Linked DNA regions of Arabidopsis thaliana. The protein of the gene in region 2 purifies or fractionates together with the protein of the main gene of each other region. This does not show direct contact. Each region holds a gene or a part of one and is shown on either strand. Other genes may lie near its edges.

Region 1 (9,763 bases), on a different chromosome or scaffold from region 2:
CCCATATTTTACCTCCTTTTGCATCAGATACATAAGCATTTCCTTGTGTATCAACAGCTACATCGTCTGCGTATGTTATCTCTTTACCTACATTGCTTAAATCATTTGTTTGCTTAACCAACAAATGATTAGAGAGACATAAGCAGAGAAACTACAGAGAGCTTACTATGGCTGCTAAGCACTGTGAGGAAGAGACGACGCCACGTGGACAAATCATAGGCCACTAAAGCACTATAACGATTTCCAAGCAAATCGCCGACAGCGAGGAGGAGACGGTTTCGGTGGCGGTCGATGACAAATCCGTTGGAAGAGTTACCGGCGAGGTCAACGTCTTTGACCAAAGTGACTTCCTTAAGAACGTCGTCGGAATCTTTAGTAGGAACAAGCTCGCCGATACCGCCGCCGCCGTCCATGTAGGAAACGAGGAATCTCCGACCAACGTCGTCCCATTTGGCGCACTCGCGGAGGAAGCCGGAGCTGTGGTAAGAGATGACGTGCGTGGAAGGAACAGCTTTCTCTGAAGAGATAATATAAGCTATTGGAACGGCGGAGAGAATGAAGAAGAAGAGAGCGACGGAGTATTTGCCGGAGCAGCAGGACGGCGACATTTTGAAAAAGACAGTTATAGAGAGTAATAAATTGGGTGCGAGGAAGACCACCTTAAGAAAGTGTGGAATAGATACAGAGAGAGTTTGGTTGGTGAGCGAACATTTGGAAAATATGGGGCCCACTTACTTAGATGCACATACAACCTTGCACTAGTTTTGGCGGCCCGTTGAATGTATCATTGGGCCCAGAATCTGTGTCCAGAATTCAATACGAATAGTTACATTTTGTATTTTTGATTACTGTTGTTTCATGTTTGTACCTTTTTACCAATTTAATGCCCTATACTATTTCCGTTGAAGCTTTAAATTCACAAGTTGGTTATATATTAGGTGAGCTGAAAATATCATTTGGGCCATTTACTTCATACAGTTGAGAAAATATTCAATTTGACACGTTTTTTTTTAATATAGTTGTATCGTGTTTTCTTATTTATTAGAATTAATTTCTGTCAATATAATAATTTGTGGTTTTGCTTTCTTTGGGTCGCATCAAATGTTAGGTGTTTTGAAATTTTGATGATATTATTATTTTTAGACAAAATTGACTGGAGTTGAACAGTAATGGGCCGGTCTCAGATGTTAGCCCAATAGGTTGACAGAGAAAATGTATGATCCATGAGAGTGACTAAATTAAATTGATTAATCTCTTGCGCACACCTGAATCCTCGTCTTCATTCGTTCCGGTCGTCGTCTACACCTCCACACTCCGACTTGGTAAATCCCCAGACTCATCTCTCTCTCTCCTTTTCTTTTGATTTCTAGATTTGCTAGTTTGTTTCGATTGTTCTTCTAGATAGAAATTAACGAGTGATTTTTGATTTAACCGATTCGCATCAATGCCCCTTCTTCTTATTGCGTCGATCTCATGGATCGGGATCCATCGTTCCTCTATCTGATTTCTCTTGTGGGAAAGAATTTCAAGCTTTATGGTTTTGTAGTAATGAACGTTTATCATTTTCGTTCGAGGGAAGATTTTTAAACTTTCGTTATGCGGATTCTGGATATTAGGCTGTTTTTTTTTTTTTTTTTTAATCGATTGAAGGATGTCAATTTATAGATTGGGCTGTAGATTGCTAGTTTATGTCATTGATATTGAATTGTAAGTTTTTCGATCTTCCAGTCATACAAATCACTAATTGCCTCAAGATAGGAAAATCCATTGGCAGTATATAGATGGAGTTCATATCTTAAGCACAGGTTTATATGGTCATTACATTTCTAGCTTTTGTTTGTTAGGACTGATTCATGTTGGGTTTTTGGGGTTATTCTTTATAACGGGTCATGCTTGTATATATGTAGTATCAATACATTTCTGATTTGTGGTTATGCTTGATGCAAAAAAGATCCAATCTTTCGAGTTGGTAGTGAGTTACATTTGTTACTTTTGGTAGGTTGAGAAGAAGAAAGAAGAGATGGCAGGACACAAGGTTGCACATGCGACATTGAAAGGGCCTAGCGTTGTCAAGGAGTTATTTATCGGTTTGGCACTCGGTTTAGCTGCTGGTGGTCTTTGGAAGATGCACCATTGGAACGAACAGAGGAAAACCAGAACTTTCTATGACTTGCTTGAGAGAGGTGAGATCAGTGTTGTAGCTGCTGAAGAGTAATTAAGCCGCTCAATAACTGGTTCCTGAAGATTGTTTGATTTCCATTTCTGTCTTTTTTTTCTTTTTTTTGTTGGGTTCTTAAGAAATAAACAAATCTGAGAATGGGATTTGTAACAAATTCAGATGTGATGTTCATTCAGACATAATCTCTTTTGTTTTGTTTCGAGAAATTACAAAAGGTGAATATTTATGAAACTTATTGATCGAAGTTTTGCACTTGAAAGAGTGTTTCCAGCATTTCAAGTAATTCAAAAACTTTTTTTCATATTATTATGAATCAATGTTTTGTATGAAAAATAAGTTTGTGTTGCATCTGCCTTTTTTTGTGCTCTCTGTTTCTGCAAGTGCACTCGCATGCTGCATGTGGCTAGTGAACCACTTTTGGGAACTCTGAAAAAAGTATAATCAAATGTGAGAATTCTTGTGGTTTTGTTTTCTGTTTGGGAATGGTGGTGAGAGAGTTTACCAGAGAAGTGATCTCCTGAGCTTGGAGTGAACTTCATGCTCACCAAACTCCGGATTACCACCACCTGTGCCTGTGGATACTTTGTCTGCAGAATCTGACCCTTCTTTGGACTGGTCGGGACTTGTATCTGCATCTGATGTGTTTGGAACACAGTATTTTTGAAGCCAACGGTCAGTTTCCCAGAGAACGTGCATAATGCTTTCCCGTGCTGAGTACCCGTGGCTCTCGTGAGGAAGAACAACAAGACGGCAAAGAGCGCCGTGGCCTTTTAGTGCATTGAAGAATCGGTCTGACTGTTATACAAAGTAAGTGAAATGAATACAGTTAGAGAGAACCAATCCAGTGATAACTTGGTGTGAACCAATCCTTTCAAGTGATATCAATGAAGTAACCTGCATTGTTAGAGTTCCTGGGTTATTGTCTTCTTCACCATGAATAAGTAAGATTGGCTTCTTGATTTTATTAGCAGACATGAATGGGCTCATCTCTACATAGACGTTAGTGGCTTCCCACAGAGTTCGGTCCTCGTTCTGAAAATTTACAGGCATAGTTAAAGAATAACCAAAAAAGCGAAGTAAATTAACTATCAAAATGCAGAGAATGAGAGGAGAAAGACAATTGGTCTTGGCACCTGGAAACCAAAGGGCGTGAGTGTTCTGTTGTAAGCCCCAGATCTGGCAATCCCGCAGGCGAAAAGATGAGGAGCATGAGCAAGAAGATTTGCAGTCATAAAAGCTCCATAGGAGTGTCCCCCAACTGCAATTTTGCTTCGATCAGCCACCTTGAAAAAAGAACAAACAATAGTAAGTTTCAAAACTGTTGGGTTTCATACAATACCGAGGTGATGGATTTAGGATAAAGCAATGCTTACTCCACGCCTGACGACTTCCTCTACAGCAGCTTCGGCACTTGCCACCAGTTGCTCTACATACCTGATTTTTTTTTTCAGTTGTTCACATTAGAATCTGTCAAGCTCAAGCACATCTCAGATCTGAAACTTACATGGTTTGATGTCACAAGTTCCCACTTAATTAGTTTGCTTATGCTTATAGGAAGGAAATCTTTAACCAAGACGATATCACTGGTTTCTATGTTCTAGCAACAAGCTTTACGAAAGTAAATATCACTTTACCTATCATTAGCCTCTTCATCACCTTCACCAATTATAGGTATAGTAGGTCCAGATAATATAGCAAACCTGCACAGTGCAGACAAATCCAGATGGTATAAGCTAACACTCGATCAACAAGCTCAGTGATATAGACCCCGGCACACTGAAACAGCAAAAAACAGTATCAATGCTAAACCTTCTAGCAAGCCAAAGAAGGGCAGAAGTTGATCCAATGCCTGCAAATTCATTTGGCGAGCCACGGACTTGACCAGCAGCATCTTTACTCTTGAATTCACCAGGATAAGACCAAAACAGACAAGGAAGAGGACCGTCTTTTGATGGATCATAGCCTGGTGGTAGGTATAGTGTTGCAGTAAGTTGAACCCCGTCTTTCCGTTGATACCTGATCATCTCTTTCTGTAACGAAGCCAATTGCGGATACGGATGAGGAAAGTTTGTAATCTGTTGCACTTTCCTATCAGGCCAAAGTTGGAGAGAATATTGGGTGTTTTCTGTTTTAGACTCCTTTGATGTCAGAATTTTCAGCTCCTCCATTTTTAAATCCCCTTCTTTTTGGTCAGACATCAAGGCAACAACTGTCTCGAAATACTTTTCCTTGTCGCTCTCCCAGATTCGTTCTTTGTTGCCTGTATTTCTAGATAAATTTTGTACAGAACATTCAGTTTGTTATCGCTTAATGGCAATAAAAACAAAAAGAGAAGCAAAAGAAAGAGAAATCATTGTCAGGTTGGGCTTACATGTCAAACAAGTCAAGGAAGGGCACATTCCCTTGTGGTGTAGCCCCACTTCCGTTCAGTAATACATAAGTGCCTTCATCATTTTCCTTCTTTATCTTTGCTATTACATACGTTCCAGCATCGGTCCTTCTCAGCATGGTTGAGCCAGGGTCTGAGTACACATCTTCCGATGATCTATCAAACAAGATGCGTGGACTGACATCGTTAGATCCAGGAGAGATAACCCACGTCCTTGTTCGTCGTGTTTTATACCATGATTCATAAACCAGAGCTAATGTATCATCACACCAAGAAATCCCTCTGCAGAATTGAAATCGGATCAATGTTAGGACATAGAAGGCTTTGATGAAGTTAGTCAGTTTGTTGATAAGATGGCATAAGTAATCTACAATATCTGCTGTGTTTTTAGTTGTTACCCATAACGAAGATCGAGCTTGTGTAACACTTCTGGTTCTTCTCCTGCCAATGGTTCAGCAGACTGCATATAAACTATATCACGCGGTGAAACTTCCATTTTGGCATCACCTCCATCTTGTGTTTCTGCCCTACATATCTCAGAAGAGTTGTAAATTAATTACTTCCAAATCCCATTTTGGCACGTGTACTACATGTGATTCACTTTGAATCTCAAATATATACCAGTAGAGGGTTGAAGGCTTGTCTGCTCGCCAGTTTATTGAACGCATTCCTTTCCGCACACTATTGGAGGCAATGGGGATATCTTCAGCCAAGGGCAAGTCACATAGCTGTCTTACAAATCTACCATCAGTTGTCCAGACTTCCACCTTCTTTGGAAATCTACCACAAGGTACAATGAAGGAATATGGCCTGTGAAGTGATGACACCAACAAGTACTTATGGTCTGTCGAAGGGTCTAACGATGTATACACTGCAGGAACCCCTACTTCCTTCACAGTACCATCCAAAGAAGCCAATACTAGTTGTGATGAAGCGTAGTAGTCAAATAAATCAGCATCATACTCATCCTTAAGCAAATCTTGGAATGTTCTAACTTGGACAACAGTCTTCGTCTCGTTTGACAGAGTTTTGGGACCAGATGGCACCAAAGGTTTCTTTGGTGGTTCTCCACGAGATGAAGGGATTGTGCTCACCAACAAAGTGGAATTATCAATCCAAACAAAACTCTCAAAAATCGCATTCAGAAAAATATCTTGCGAGTTAAACAATGGTCTAGCTACTCCAGTCTCAACATCAGCTACCCATACCACTGGCTTACTACTATTTCCGTTCTCATCGACCCGGATGCTGAAAGCCAGATGCTTACCGTCATTGGACCATGTAACAAAGTTAATCTTACCACCATCTGGAATGCCAGTGATCTCCTTCTCAGGACTCAATGTACCATCAGGCAATAACTGATGGATTCCTAAACCAGTATAGAATGACATTCTGCTTCTGGTATTGCAGTATCCATCAATTCGAACACCAGCAAGCTTCTCCTCTGGTCTAGCTAAATCTGCGAGCGGAGGCAATGCTCTCCGCTTGAGAAACAATATCTTATCCCTATGTGGTGAAAATGATAAAGCCGGGACTGGTGGAGCATCTACAATATCTCTGATCTCAGGTGGAGGCAGACGATATCCAGTGCCTATAGCCAATTCTACATAGTTCAACACACAAACAAACAATCAAAAACGATTTCTCAGATTTCAATTCCAGTGACAAGTAACTCTATACACAAAAATATTCAAATCCAAGTTACCATCATCTTCAGTTGCAGTAGCAGAGGCTGATAGGGAGCCATTAGAGGTTCCACCACCGTCTTCAGCACCTCCAGAACAGGCAGATGCGAGAGAACGAAGCCTAGAAGCAGAACGTGAAGCCATGACAGTGGTCAACGGGTTTTCGGAGAATCGGCGAACTCTTACGCAACGTCGTGTACTCAGAGTCGAGAATCCGGAAAGCTTGGGAAGTAGAAGGAGAGAAGAAGCCGGTGACGGAGACGGCGGAGATAAATGGCAGAGAGGTGAAAGAGAGAAACGATGACAAGCTTTATGAAAGCGCATCATCTTTTTTTAATACTTGACTTTTTTAACCTTTTTAAAGTGCTCTGAATGATTCTCTCTTTTTCTATTCGACGGTTCACTAATCAAAACGACGACTGTATCTGTATGTATTTTTAACCAGGAAAACAAAAAATATCAGGAAAAATATCGGTAGTGGTCACTGCTTATGTGGGCCTTATCTATGGCCCAACTAGCGCTTATTTCCTGGAATATGGCCCATTATAAGTCAGTCGTCCTCCCCCTTTTTCTCAACAAAATGAAATACTCAAAAATATAGTAATTATTAATTTATTATGCTACTTTTCATGAGAAGTTTATGTCTATGAAAATTACAGAAGAGAAAATGATAACAAATTTTTATTATTTCAGTCAAAAATTAAAAAAAAAGCTTCTATAATTTTCAAGAAAAAATGTTCAACGGCTGATAAAATAAATATTCCGGGGAAAAACTTATGTTTCTCAAATTGGTAGAATACTACTTTTTGTGAAAAAATCTAAGTACACGTGGCAAAATATGCTTGGTTCTTAGAAGATAAGAGGATTGTGTTCACAGAGTTTAATAACGTGAACGAGTATATTTTATCTTCTTCATCTCTTCACATCAAAAAACTTTTCTCCTCCATCAAAATCCTCCGACGATGACAACCATAGCTGCAGCTGGCCTCAACGTCGCGACTCCACGAGTGGTCGTTCGACCTGTGGCTCGTGTATTAGGTCCGGTCCGGTTGAATTACCCGTGGAAATTCGGTTCGATGAAGCGGATGGTTGTGGTTAAGGCTACATCGGAAGGAGAGATATCGGAGAAGGTGGAGAAGAGTATACAAGAAGCTAAGGAGACATGCGCTGATGATCCGGTGAGCGGGGAGTGTGTAGCGGCTTGGGACGAGGTGGAGGAGCTGAGTGCGGCGGCGAGTCATGCTAGGGACAAGAAGAAAGCTGGTGGCTCCGATCCTTTGGAAGAGTATTGCAATGATAATCCTGAGACTGATGAGTGTCGTACTTATGATAATTAAAAAATATGTTTTTGATGTTCGAATTATGAAACTTTAGGTATGGATCAATGTTTGTTCTTCTTGTCCCTTGTTGTTATGTTTGTGTTTTTGGTTTGGTTGATGATTGTAATGTGATAAATGAATATGAATAGTACAATACACAACATATGTTTCATAATGTGTTTGGTTCGATTACATTTGCAGTTTCGTGAAATTGATAATAAAAAACTCAATTAAGTTTAGATGAGGCTGAGATGATCTTAGGTCACTCGCATACGTTCCTTATTATTTTTTTGTGGATGTGGAGATGTATGTGTCAAAACGACGTTGAGCCGAGAGAAAGATGAATTGATCGAGAGTTTCTTAGACGGTTTTAAAATTGCTGCCTTGCTGGTATGGGAATTAATCTTTGGTTTCAACAAGATGGGTAACAACAAACAAGCCCATGTAATTATGTTGATGCAGTGTAATGGGCTTTATCAAGCATGGGCCGATGTACAAATTTGACATATAGAATAGAACCAGTTTGTGGCCAGCCTCAAGGTGATGAGAAACAGTAAATATATTAAGGAATAAGTGAACTAAATAATTTGACAAAAAAAAAAACACCTGAAATGTATACAATTTTATTGTTTGATAACAAAATTTGTGAAGTTAAGTGAATGAATTCAAAATCGTTTATCTTCTAGCATTAAATTGATTAATCTAAAGTAAATGATACGAGTGTGCTTGTTTGATGCTCTTCTGTGTTATTTTGCAAATTTGAATTCGTTCACTTATATATATTTTTGGCGGTTCAGAAAAGTAGATTTTAACAAGAAAAATGCATCGGCACGGTATCACCAGTTAAAATCTGAAGGTAAAAAGGTTATATATGAATTTGTAAGAAAACAACAAAAATTAAGCCGATCTATTTGTCGGCCCAGCCGCTAAAGAGTCAATTATACCCCTATAATTCTCACGCGGTTTAAGAAAATGCAACAACAAGTAAGGGGTGTATCTGTCTTCTCACACATAAGATTTTTTTTTTTGCTTATTAAAACTCTTACGTATTGTTGTTTCCTATTCTCAAATTTGTATTTTCCAGATTTTCCAGAAAAATCTCACAGCGGTAAGAAAAAAAGAAAAAGAAGAGTCAGTGGTCTTGTTGTTTCGTTCTTCCTTGTTCGCTCGACCTGGCCGATGTCTAACCAGGACCAGGAGACGCGCACACAATTCGCAGAATGTAACGTTGTTGCTACTCTTCTTCTCTCGTTTCTGTGACCTAAGAACCATTCGAATTCGCTGCTCCGTCTCTCTGGTTTCGTCCTTGAAAAATCGTCTACTCGAGATTCCTTTCTCTAGCCACCCATCTCAACTGCTGAGTAGCAAGCTGTATTTTTGTTGACCTAACTAAACCCTAGCTTCTTCGAGGTTTTCTCTTGATTCCCTTGTCTTTTCTAGCTCCCGAATTTGCCAGTTTTACTTGATTTTCATTTTTCATGTGTGATGTGTGTTTTTCTATGTAATTGGATCTTAGGGTTTTTTGATTTGGGAATAACTCTTTGAAATCGCATTTAAGATTGTGTCTCAATGCTTTTTTACGATCCAATTCCTTGAGATGTTTTGTAGATTTCTTTCAGTCGCTTAATTAGGGGAATGATTGGATGATCCTTCCTGTGTAGTAGGAAGAACAGATAAAGTTACATCAGATTCCAATTTTTAAAAGAGAACCCTAGTTTACTATTAAGTATGTGGACGATTCTATTTCATATGAAAGGTCTTGGTGTTATATATGTCATCTGTGTATATTTATCTAAAACTGAGTCAGTATAGTGCATGCTTTAATTGATGAGACTGTCTTTCACTTTGGCAGTGGCATTTTTTTGACGAGTGCTTCTCTTCCTTATCATGGACTGGATACACAAATCTACTCCTTTTATGGAACCTTCGAATTTGGCAAAACTGGTTCAAGGAAATGTTCCTCTTCAGCCACATGACAGCCATTCTTCGCTAACTGATCTAGATATGGACCTTAGAGAAGTCTATTTCCTGATTTTACATTTTCTTTCTATTGGCCCCTGCGAACGAACCTTTGGCCACTTGAGAGACGAAATTTTGGAAAAAGGGCTTTTACCCCGTAGATATCATTCCTGGTGGTCAAGAAGTGGCATTTATAGCGGGCGTGCTGATGATGATGGCATCTCCCTCCCCT
Region 2 (9,905 bases):
GCACATATTCTAATTCAAAATCATCGTGTTGACGGAAAAAAAGTCGGCCTAAACTAGCACGAGTAAAACTATATACTTATGCAATGTATATCTTATTAAAATTCAAATATACAATCGATACAAATTTATATTTATATCTTACATCCGCTTATTTAGTCGGACCTTACCTAGTAAAATTAAAAAGTACCATTATAAAAGTGTCGGCCTAAAATATTATAAGTGAAATGGAACATTTTGTGCAAAGTTATTAATTATTTTACTAATGTGCATGTACCATTTTACGTACTCTTCCACATAAACTAGAAAATTATGCAAATTAGGCATTTTTATTACAAATAATTTTGTAACTATGTACTTTAAAAAAAATTGTAAAATAGGTAGTGCTGTCTTTTCCTCTTATAATACAACACAATTGTAACATGACCAACTTAACCTTTTACTCTTTTTTTCTTTTTTTATCAAAAACTTTTACTCTTTTCATTTGTTCACATAAAGATCCCACAAAAATCAATTATAAAATCATACTTTTTTTTTCTCCTTTACATTTTTAATTTGATTTTGTTATAAATCATCCTAAAATATTTACCACAGTAACATTTTAAAATAATAATTTTATTTTTGTGAATCTAAAGAACCTAATTTTGTTATATATTTGTAGATACGTAATCTTCTATTTTGTTTTAACTCAACTCAACGGTGTACAAAATCATATAAAAGATTACATACTTTACCAATTATTTTTGAAAAATATCTACTTTATCAAAAAAACTTATAATTAATCTATAGTATATTAGAGCAGCTATATCATTATCAAGATATGTAAAGTAGATATTTTTATTAAAAAAATGTTAAATAGAGGAAAAATAAGAAGATAAGATAGAGACTTAGATAACATATGACATTCATAGTTAAATTATTAAAATAATATATATACATATATATGATTAAAAATATTATTTTACTTTACTTTTATGTGATTTCAAGATATTCGAACCAATAAAGATGCTCCTACTATCTAGGTTTTTTGATACTTCTTTTGTTCTTTTTTAATTTTCTAGCTTTTCTACTACCTATGAAGAATAGAAAATCAACGACACTTAGGCATGTTAATCATGCTAGCAAGGCCTAGTCCGACCTATATTTTGCAAGGCTTGTTGGGCTTGTTAGAATCGGTTCTCATGAACATTAACAAGTATCAACAACCATAAGAAACCCTTCCCGCTCGTATGAATGCTCATCATGTTTGTCTTGGAGAAAAATCTCTACCAATCGAATTGGACAACAAATTTGAAGAAGATGAAGAAGAGCATAAAGAAGAAGATGTTCCCAATATGTAATGGTTATGGATTATGACCAACTTCCACCAAAAGAAAGATCATTTTAATCTTGCTATATGTCGTAGTGTGCTGAATATCTCTTCTTTGTAATTCTACATACTAACGAAGATTTTAGTCTAATTTTTTCTTTATTTTATTTTATTTGTTATAGAAAGAAATTGGGAAATTGTACCATTGCTTTTTGTGGGGTAAACTTTTCTAATTTTCTAACACTCAGATTTGACAAAGAAAGATTTTGTCATATTTTATTTTATTTTAACTAATTCATACTATTAGAGTGCTAGAAAAGTCTCACATGGGAAATTGGATAATTTCTACACTAGTATATAATGTTTATGGGTGTCTCCACTCATTCTCAATTGTTTTTGAGTTGGATGCCATGATTCCTAATATGGTATCAGAACCAAGTTTTATTGAATCTATTATTGTGGCTCATTCTGGTTAGTTTCAATGCATACTTGGATTTCTTTAATGTTCATTACCAAGACCACTAGAGGATCATTGTAATTTAGTTTTGATCATGTAGGTTCATCGTTCCCAATCCTTTCATCTTGAGGAGGAATATTAAAGTTTATATAGCTGGTTTAGTTATGGTTTAATTTGGTTAATATCTTTGGTTTAGTTTGCTATGTATTTAAGCTTAATCATGTATACATTGACTTGAATAAAGAAAATATCTTTTCTCATATTATGTTTTCTCTTGAACTCTCCCTAATGGAAAATAGCATTAATATGGTATCAGAGTCCAATATTAGCGCAACAGACGATTTTTCACATAGACGATTTTTCATCTATGACATGTACAAGTAAATCATTTTGTTGTAATATTTCTGAGATAATGGACTTGATTCATTTTTATTGGACCGTTTTTCACCCATATCTTAAGAAGATTTATTAAAATATTAAAAAAATCCAACATAAAAGTTGGGTAATTTATGCATTAATAGATAATGTTCTATATTCATTCTCAATTAGTTTTGAGTTAAAAGCTTATATGTAAACAAATGTGACATTTGAAATGTCAAATACTAGATCCCGTCCGTAGGATAGACGGGCAAGTTCAAGCGTATGACCACCAAACTTTTGAGTTTATTGAAGGTCATATTTTTTGATAAATATAATGGATTTTAGCCTTTTAGGGAGCAATATTCATAAGCCCATGGTTTCATTTAAAACAATATCGTTTATTTTAGAAAATAGTTTGTGAAGGCCACATATTTCTAATTTTCCTTCTTTAATATGGTGGACAAAAAAAAAGCAAAATCCTTCATTTAATTGTATCTTACCTAACTTCTCATCTTTCTATCCCTTTTTTTGCCTTTTATTTTCTTTTGTATTCCTTTTAAAAATTAATTAGAATTCAAATTTACACAAAATAGGAAAAAATACATTACTACGACAAATTATACAAGGGGCCACTTTTTTTTTTGGTTGCTTCAGACGACTAGTTTTGTTGGACCGATCATAGCAGACACAAATCTCTTTTCAATGTCGACAATGGCATCAATGAAATCCAGCCAAAAGTCTTGGACCAGCAATAGTGATACATAAGTACATACAACAACAACTAAAACTTATTCACCAAGACAATTTATTACCTTGTTTCTAATGAATCAAGAATCTGATCCTTATTTCACTGAAAATGGCCAAACCTCCAAAGAATATCCGGCTAAGAGACACCGAAACAACAACAAGACACATAAACAACTAATTTGGATTATACGTTAAATGAAGGAGTAATGAAGTTCGAGAAGAGACTTATGAGGAGGAGATGAATTGTTTATATGTTGGAGCCGAATCCGCCACCGCCTGGAGTAAGAATCTGTAAGATTTCACCGGCTTCTACGTGTACCGTATTCTTGCCTCCAAGATAGATTCTTCGTTTGTCTTTAGTGATGAGATAGTTTGCTCCACGGAGTCCATTTTGGCCACCGTTCAATCCACGTGGCGAGTGAACTCTTCTCTCTGAGAGGATGCTAACCACTACAGGCTTTCTAAACTCTATCTCTCTCACCAATCCATCGCCTCCTTTATGCAACCCATTGCCTCCACTATTCTCTCTCAATCCAAATCTATGCAACAGAACCGGGTACCTGATAAAAACCCATGTGTTAGTCTAGTGCAAGTACGTCTGACCATTCAGTTTTTTTCATAGCTACAGAACTAACAGGATGTTTCAGCACCTTTGCTCAAAGATCTCGGGATCAGTCATCCGCGTGTTAGTCATATGGCATTGGACTCCGCTTGTCCCGTTCCATGTGGGTCCGGCTCCGCATCCACCACCAATGGTCTCGTAGTACCCAAATGTGTCGTCTCCAAATGTGAGATTGTTCATGCATCCTTGGGAACAAGCACAAGCCTGGAATGCTGTTAGGACAACATCTGTAACTCTCTGGGATGTTAGAACGTTGCCTCCAACAACAGCTGCTTTTTCGCTTGGAGACAGGAATGAACCAGCGGGTATGCGGATCTCAACCGGAGCTAAGCAGCCTTGGTTTAGCGGAATGTCGACATTAACCAAACAACGGAGGCAGTAAATAACCGCTGCAGATGTAACTGCTTCTGGGGCATTCCAGTTACCGTAGACTTCCGGGCTTGTGCCTGTAAAGTCAAAGGAGGCTTCTCCTTTGTCGGCATCAATTGTGAGTTTTAAGTGAATTATGGATCCATCATCCATGTAATCCTCTTCTTCTATGGTCACGGAGTTACCAACCCTGGAATTTGGTGTTTCCGAGGAAACTCTATTAGCTACAGACTTCAGCATTTCTCTCACTGCTTCTTCGGCGTTAAGCTGAACGTATTTCATGTAAGCCTGAACAGTTCCAAGGCCATATTGCTCAATCAGCTCTTTAATTAGAGAAATTCCTCTTTGGTTTGCAGCTATCTGAGCTTGGAGATCCGAGAGATTGTCCTGAATCCGTCTGGTTCCTGGAATCTTAGTTGTTGTCTCATCAGAAGAAGGGAATTGAAGAAGTTTTACAATTCCTTCTTCCTGAAAAACACCTTTTTCAACAACTTTAAATGCTTTTATCGCAGCTCCTTCCTCCCAAATCGCCTTTGAGAACGGAGGCATGCTTCCGGGAGTTATGCCTCCTACTTCTGCGTGGTGACCTCTACTAGCCACAAAGAACACAAGCTTTCCCTTGTCAAAAACAGGTGTGATAACGGTTATATCAGGCAAATGGCTACCACCGGCGCAAGGATGATTTGTTACCAAAACATCTCCTTCGTTCAGATTTTCACCCCAATGTTTGAGCTGCCAGCGAACTGTACTGGACATGGCACCCAGATGAACTGGAACATGTGGCGCATTAGCAACTAAGCCACCGTCAGGACTAAACAAGGCGCATGAAAAATCCAATCTTTCTTTGATATTTGTCGATATGGAAGTACGTTGCAGGGTTCTTCCCATTTGCTCAGCTATACCCATGAATCTGTGATTAAATATGGATAGCTGAACAACATCTGCAACATTCTCTGCAAGCTTCACACTGCTCGTTGCTGGCTCTACCTCAATTTTAATGTTTCCATACTTTGTAATGATGGCTTTGCACTGAGGTTCTACAATAACTGTACTGTTCCCGTTCATGATGATCGCAGGGCCGAGAATCTCATGGCCAAAACCTAAATTCTCCAACTTGAACAACGGTGTGTCATGCCATCCGCCTTCAAAGTAAACCTTGTAGTGCCTTTCAACCTTAGGAGTGACAGGGGCAGCTTCAACTGCCCGTGGTTTTAGTATACTAGTCACTCCAATTCCCCGAACCCGAACATCACATATGAGAAGATTTCTGTTTTGAAGTTTAAATCCATACTCTTGCTCGAAAAGCTTGAGAAACTCTGCAGCATAATCAAATGCCGACCCATCTCCAGTTTTTTTACCCTTTACCATGATAGCTGTATCTGTCCCATCATATCTTAAGTTCAAATATGTCTCAGTGGAGATATTTCCATCACCAAACCCCTGTTCCTGGAGCTTTTCTCTCACTTCTCTCAGCAATACCGTTTCCCTTCTAAAGACCTCTGAAAGAGATTCAGGGCCATAAACAGCTGAATATGGCTCTTGAGCATCTTCAATGACATCTGCCAAACCCATTCCATAAGCACTCAAAATTCCACAGTATCTGTGAACAAGAACTTCTTTCATGCCCAAAGACCTAGCTATTGCACAAGCATGTTGCGGTCCAGCACCTCCAAAGCATGCGAGTGCATGATTCTTTGTTTCATGACCCTTCATCTCTGTCAGTTGCCGTATGGGACGGCACATTGTCTCGTTAGCAACACTCACAAAACCCATTGCTATTTCCTCCACAGACATGTCTTTTGCAGATGGATCCTGGCTCTTTCTATATATATTAATCTGTCCTGCAAGCTTTTCAAATGCTTCTCTTGTTGCTGCTACATCTAAGGGCTGATCTTCATTGGGCCCAAATATGGATGGAAAATAATCAGGAATAACAAACCCCAAAACAAGATTCGCATCAGTAACTGCTAACTCACCTCCTTTCCGGTAACAAACTGGACCTGGGTGAGCACCCACAGAATCAGGTCCCACTCGGAAAGCACCAAACTGAAACTTTAGTTTCGACCCACCACCGGCAGCAACGGTATTTATGTCAAGCTGTGGCGCTTGTATAATTGTTCCAGCAATCTGAGTTTCTATAACTTGCTCATAACTTCCATCATAGCGGCTAACATCCGTTGACGTACCACCCATATCAAATCCAATCAGCGGTTTTTCAGTTTCAAGACCAAAGAGTGTCTGTGAGTAACCAACAACTCCTCCTGCTGGACCTGATAACACAGCCTTATGCCCTGAAAACCTACTTTCTGGTGCTAAACCTCCATCAGATTGCATGAATAAAACATTCACTTTCCCAAGATCATCATCAAATTTGGAAATAAAACCCGACAAGTACTCTTTAATCACTGGTGTCAAATACGCATCCACAGTAGCTGTTAAACCCCGAGGAACAGCCCGAACCATGGGTGTCAAAGCAGAAGACAACGAAACATGTCTAAAACCCATCTCTAAAGCCAACTTCTCCACATCCATCTCATGCTTCGGATAAGTATACGAATGCATCAAAACAACAGCCAAACAACTTATCCCTTTATCAAGCAAACCCTTCAACAAAGGTTTCAAACCTTCTCCATCAAACGGCTTCACAACTCTAAGAAACTCCCCAGACACTCCTTTAATCAACGACCCTTCATCATCATCATCATCTTCCAACGCAAGCACAACTCTTTCATCAACCTCTATAACCTCCTCATAAAGATTCGACGGTTTCGCAACAGTAAGATCAAAAATATCAGGTCTAGCTTGATTACCTATCTGCAACAAATCTTTAAACCCTTTAGTTACACACAAAGCTATTCTTTCACCTTTCCTCTCTAACAAAGCATTCGTTGCCACAGTAGTTCCCATTCTAATCCACTGTATCTTATCAGTTGGTATCTTCGACGTTCTTGGTATCTTCTTCCCTGTATACTCCTCGAGTATTCTCCGAATTCCTTCGACCGGAGCATCGTCGTAATTCGATGGATCAACTGATAAAAGCTTCAACACATGACCATCGGAATGTCCTGGAATCTCAGCGTATACATCAGTGAAAGTACCTCCTCTATCTATACAAAATCTTAGCTTTCCTTCGATTACAGTTCCCATCTCACTCTCTCTGCATAACCCAACAACGAAATTACACTAAATTACCAATTCACAACAACGATATTGAGAGATCATAACAGCAATTTTAGATAGTATCGATTAAAATGAAACTACGAGAGAAGGGGTTTGTAATCAAAATCCAGATATTTATGAAAGTACCTTGCTTTGGTGGCGAAGATCGTTGAAGGATCGAGTTTTAGCGAAGAGTCAACAGTGTAGTGGGTGAATGATGAAGAAGATGAATCAGGTGGTGATGATGATGAGAATGTGAAGGATCTTCTTTTGCTTTTCCGGTTTTACTAAACCATTTCGGTTTTTGGTTGGTTAGAATTTAAAACGGATATAATCATAAACCCCACGGTATGAATGAATGTGTTGGCCTAATTTGTGTAATGTTATCTACTGGACCGGATCGGGATATTCGATTTTGAATAACGAATTATTAACATTTTAGAGGCCACATTTCTATATAAATTTATTGTTTATTTACTTTTTAATTAATATAATTAGATTATATGATGAAATCTCCTATAATATCATACTTTAAAATTATTTCTTAAAACAGATGTGTATATCCATATTACGAAACTTTACATACATACTAATATGCACATAAGAAAAATCGTTTTTTTTTGTTACATGTTGGGAAAATATAAAATTGTAAAATACACTAATTATAATGATTTTCTAGTATTTTAAATCATATTTTGTTAAAACCAAAAAATTGAGTGTTAAGTAAAAAAATTACAAAAAAACATATATCTTTTTCACTCTTCTTCTTTTTTAAAGGACGAAAAATGACTAATTAAAGCTTTAATTTCAATTTTCCTTCTTTTATAGGCACACTCTAGGTTTGGGATATATGTTTAAACTAAAATGTCATATAGTTACAAGTTGCCTTAAACCTCTCAAAACATGGGCACACCATTTGCCTTAAACTTCTCGAAACATGGGCACCAACCCGGGAGCAGAGTCCCCACCGGCAAGGGGGACATGAGACTGCCATCCCCCTTTTATCCCGCGGATTCCGTTTTTTGTCCTAAAATTTTTGAGCTAGGTTAGTCATAGGATTATTTGGAAACACGTCTTTCCTATTCCATCTTTTCTCGAATTTCCTAGTAGATAGGTACATCATCTGTATTTTAAGCCCACCACTATGTGAATGTGCGATGTTTATCTATTAGACCGGATCAGGATATTGGGTTTAGCGCGAAAGTAGGCCAATAACCGTGATATCCCAATTTTGATTTTTACTATTACTCAGATTCGAATCTATCGCATCCGGATATCCGATTGAATTTTGGATCCGGATCTAATTAGCCTAATAAAGTTTGATACATTAGGATTGAGTTAGCGTAATTAGCTACTACACTATGATATATATTGGGATTGGATAGCTTAAGCATATTTAATTGAGACATTGGTGGACGCATGTTAAAATTATAGCTCATGGGCGGTAGTAAAAATTTGACTCGAACTTTCTGAATGTTGATTAAAAATTGGTGGTAAATGTCTCATTTCGTTTTTGACATCATAGTAGAGATGATAGCTAGATATGCCCATAAAAATATATGAGTCCTAAAAACAAATAAAAAATAAGAATCCTAACAAATGCATTTTGAAGTAGTGGACAATATGTAATTGCTGGCTACTCTTGCTTTGTACTTCATAGAACAACGATCTCTCCTCTTCCTCCTTTCTCTGCGAAACTCACATGCTTCTGCATTTTATTTGGAACAACAACGTTTTATAAAATGTCAAATACAAACAAAGAGATCTCCTTTAGTTTGCGTGTTCATTTCACAAATATATTCATGGCAAAAAAAATATAAAAAAAATATGAGTTACAGTTTGAAACAACGAAACCCAAAGTACATTAAATGCGGATTTGATGTTTGATCATATACTATACATAGTGATAATTCATCATACGTTCTGGTTCCAAAAACTTTAGGCAATTGAGTAGCATAAATATTAATGTCTTCATGACTATTGCATGTAGTTTATTGGTTTGTAATAGTTTCTTTGTTGATGTGTCACCATTTATATTCAAATCGGATAAAATGCATGTTGTTGGAAAAAAAACGTAATTTCAAATATTTAGCTATGCTATAAGACCTTTGTTTTAGTTATGCACTTATGCTATATATAAGACCTTAGGATTGATAACTTCAAATGTATTTCGATCATGTAATTTTCTCGGACATTTACCTCTCGTGCTTTGTAATGGTTGTTTATCTCCGCAATTCCAAGTCTCTGGCGAAGGCCATCGTTATCCCTACCGCCTTGTATCCCACCGGAACTCTCCATATAAGCACTGATAATCTTCGCTGCCACTTCCGAAGCATCATGGCTCTCTTCCATTAACTTTGTTATCTGAGACCTAGGCAGCCTTAACCTCACCCTCGTATGTCCAAGCTCAGGCCCATCTCCTACTACGTCAGATCTTGCTGCACCAACATCAGAAACCGTTCTCCTTGAAAGCATTAACATCTCTAAACGCTCCTTTGCGCCAACATGTATATTACCGGACATAACTCTCCGGTATGGAAGCTTATTCCTCTTATCTACCGGTGGAAGGTCCACCAAAAAATATGTGTGATTAGGCTTTAATATTTGATTCGGCTCTAGAGGTTTGGCGCGAACTCCTAATCGTTTCACGGTCTCGGAGTCTAACAGCACGAATCCGGGATACTCTTTCGTGGCGTCACTCGCCGTCACCGGAGTTTTGAGCCGGAAAATATCGCCGTCGATCTTCATAACTTTCACCTTGTTTCTCCTCACCATTATAGTGTTCCCCATTTTTCTGTCTTTTTTGTTGAATATATCTCATAAAGCATGCAACGCTATCTATTTATATGTTGAGGAGGATTTGGTTCAAGCTTTTTGATTAGTGT

The links.
Region 1: the proteins of OXP1 (region 2) and AT2G47390 fractionate together in Arabidopsis thaliana (co-fractionation; one large-scale study listed by BioGRID). This does not show direct contact.

The regions. Positions count from the first base shown.
Region 1 is NC_003071.7:19,439,674-19,449,436, forward strand, and holds AT2G47390 (Prolyl oligopeptidase family protein), read right to left. Parts: upstream 6,693-9,763; 5' UTR 6,581-6,692; coding exon 6,274-6,580; intron 6,172-6,273; coding exon 5,190-6,171; intron 5,096-5,189; coding exon 4,967-5,095; intron 4,851-4,966; coding exon 4,551-4,850; intron 4,448-4,550; coding exon 3,989-4,447; intron 3,880-3,988; coding exon 3,814-3,879; intron 3,614-3,813; coding exon 3,553-3,613; intron 3,463-3,552; coding exon 3,313-3,462; intron 3,212-3,312; coding exon 3,074-3,211; intron 2,975-3,073; coding exon 2,682-2,974; intron 2,606-2,681; coding exon 2,605-2,605; 3' UTR 2,319-2,604; downstream 1-2,318. Other genes in the region: AT2G47370 (Calcium-dependent phosphotriesterase superfamily protein), read right to left, coding at 1-87, 167-608; AT2G47380 (Cytochrome c oxidase subunit Vc family protein), read left to right, coding at 2,021-2,215; CP12-1 (CP12 domain-containing protein 1), read left to right, coding at 7,216-7,590; AT2G47410 (WD40 domain-containing protein), read left to right, coding at 9,460-9,763. UniProt on the Arabidopsis thaliana protein: Serine-type protease active in vitro against the LHCII N-terminal. Cleaves its substrate on the carboxy-side of Glu residues.
Region 2 is NC_003076.8:15,053,518-15,063,422, forward strand, and holds OXP1 (oxoprolinase 1), read right to left. Parts: upstream 7,350-9,905; 5' UTR 7,168-7,349; intron 7,019-7,167; 5' UTR 7,009-7,018; coding exon 3,521-7,008; intron 3,431-3,520; coding exon 3,118-3,430; 3' UTR 2,671-3,117; downstream 1-2,670. Other genes in the region: AT5G37840 (plastid movement impaired protein), read right to left, coding at 8,675-8,728, 9,220-9,810. UniProt on the Arabidopsis thaliana protein: Catalyzes the cleavage of 5-oxo-L-proline to form L-glutamate coupled to the hydrolysis of ATP to ADP and inorganic phosphate. Acts in the glutathione degradation pathway.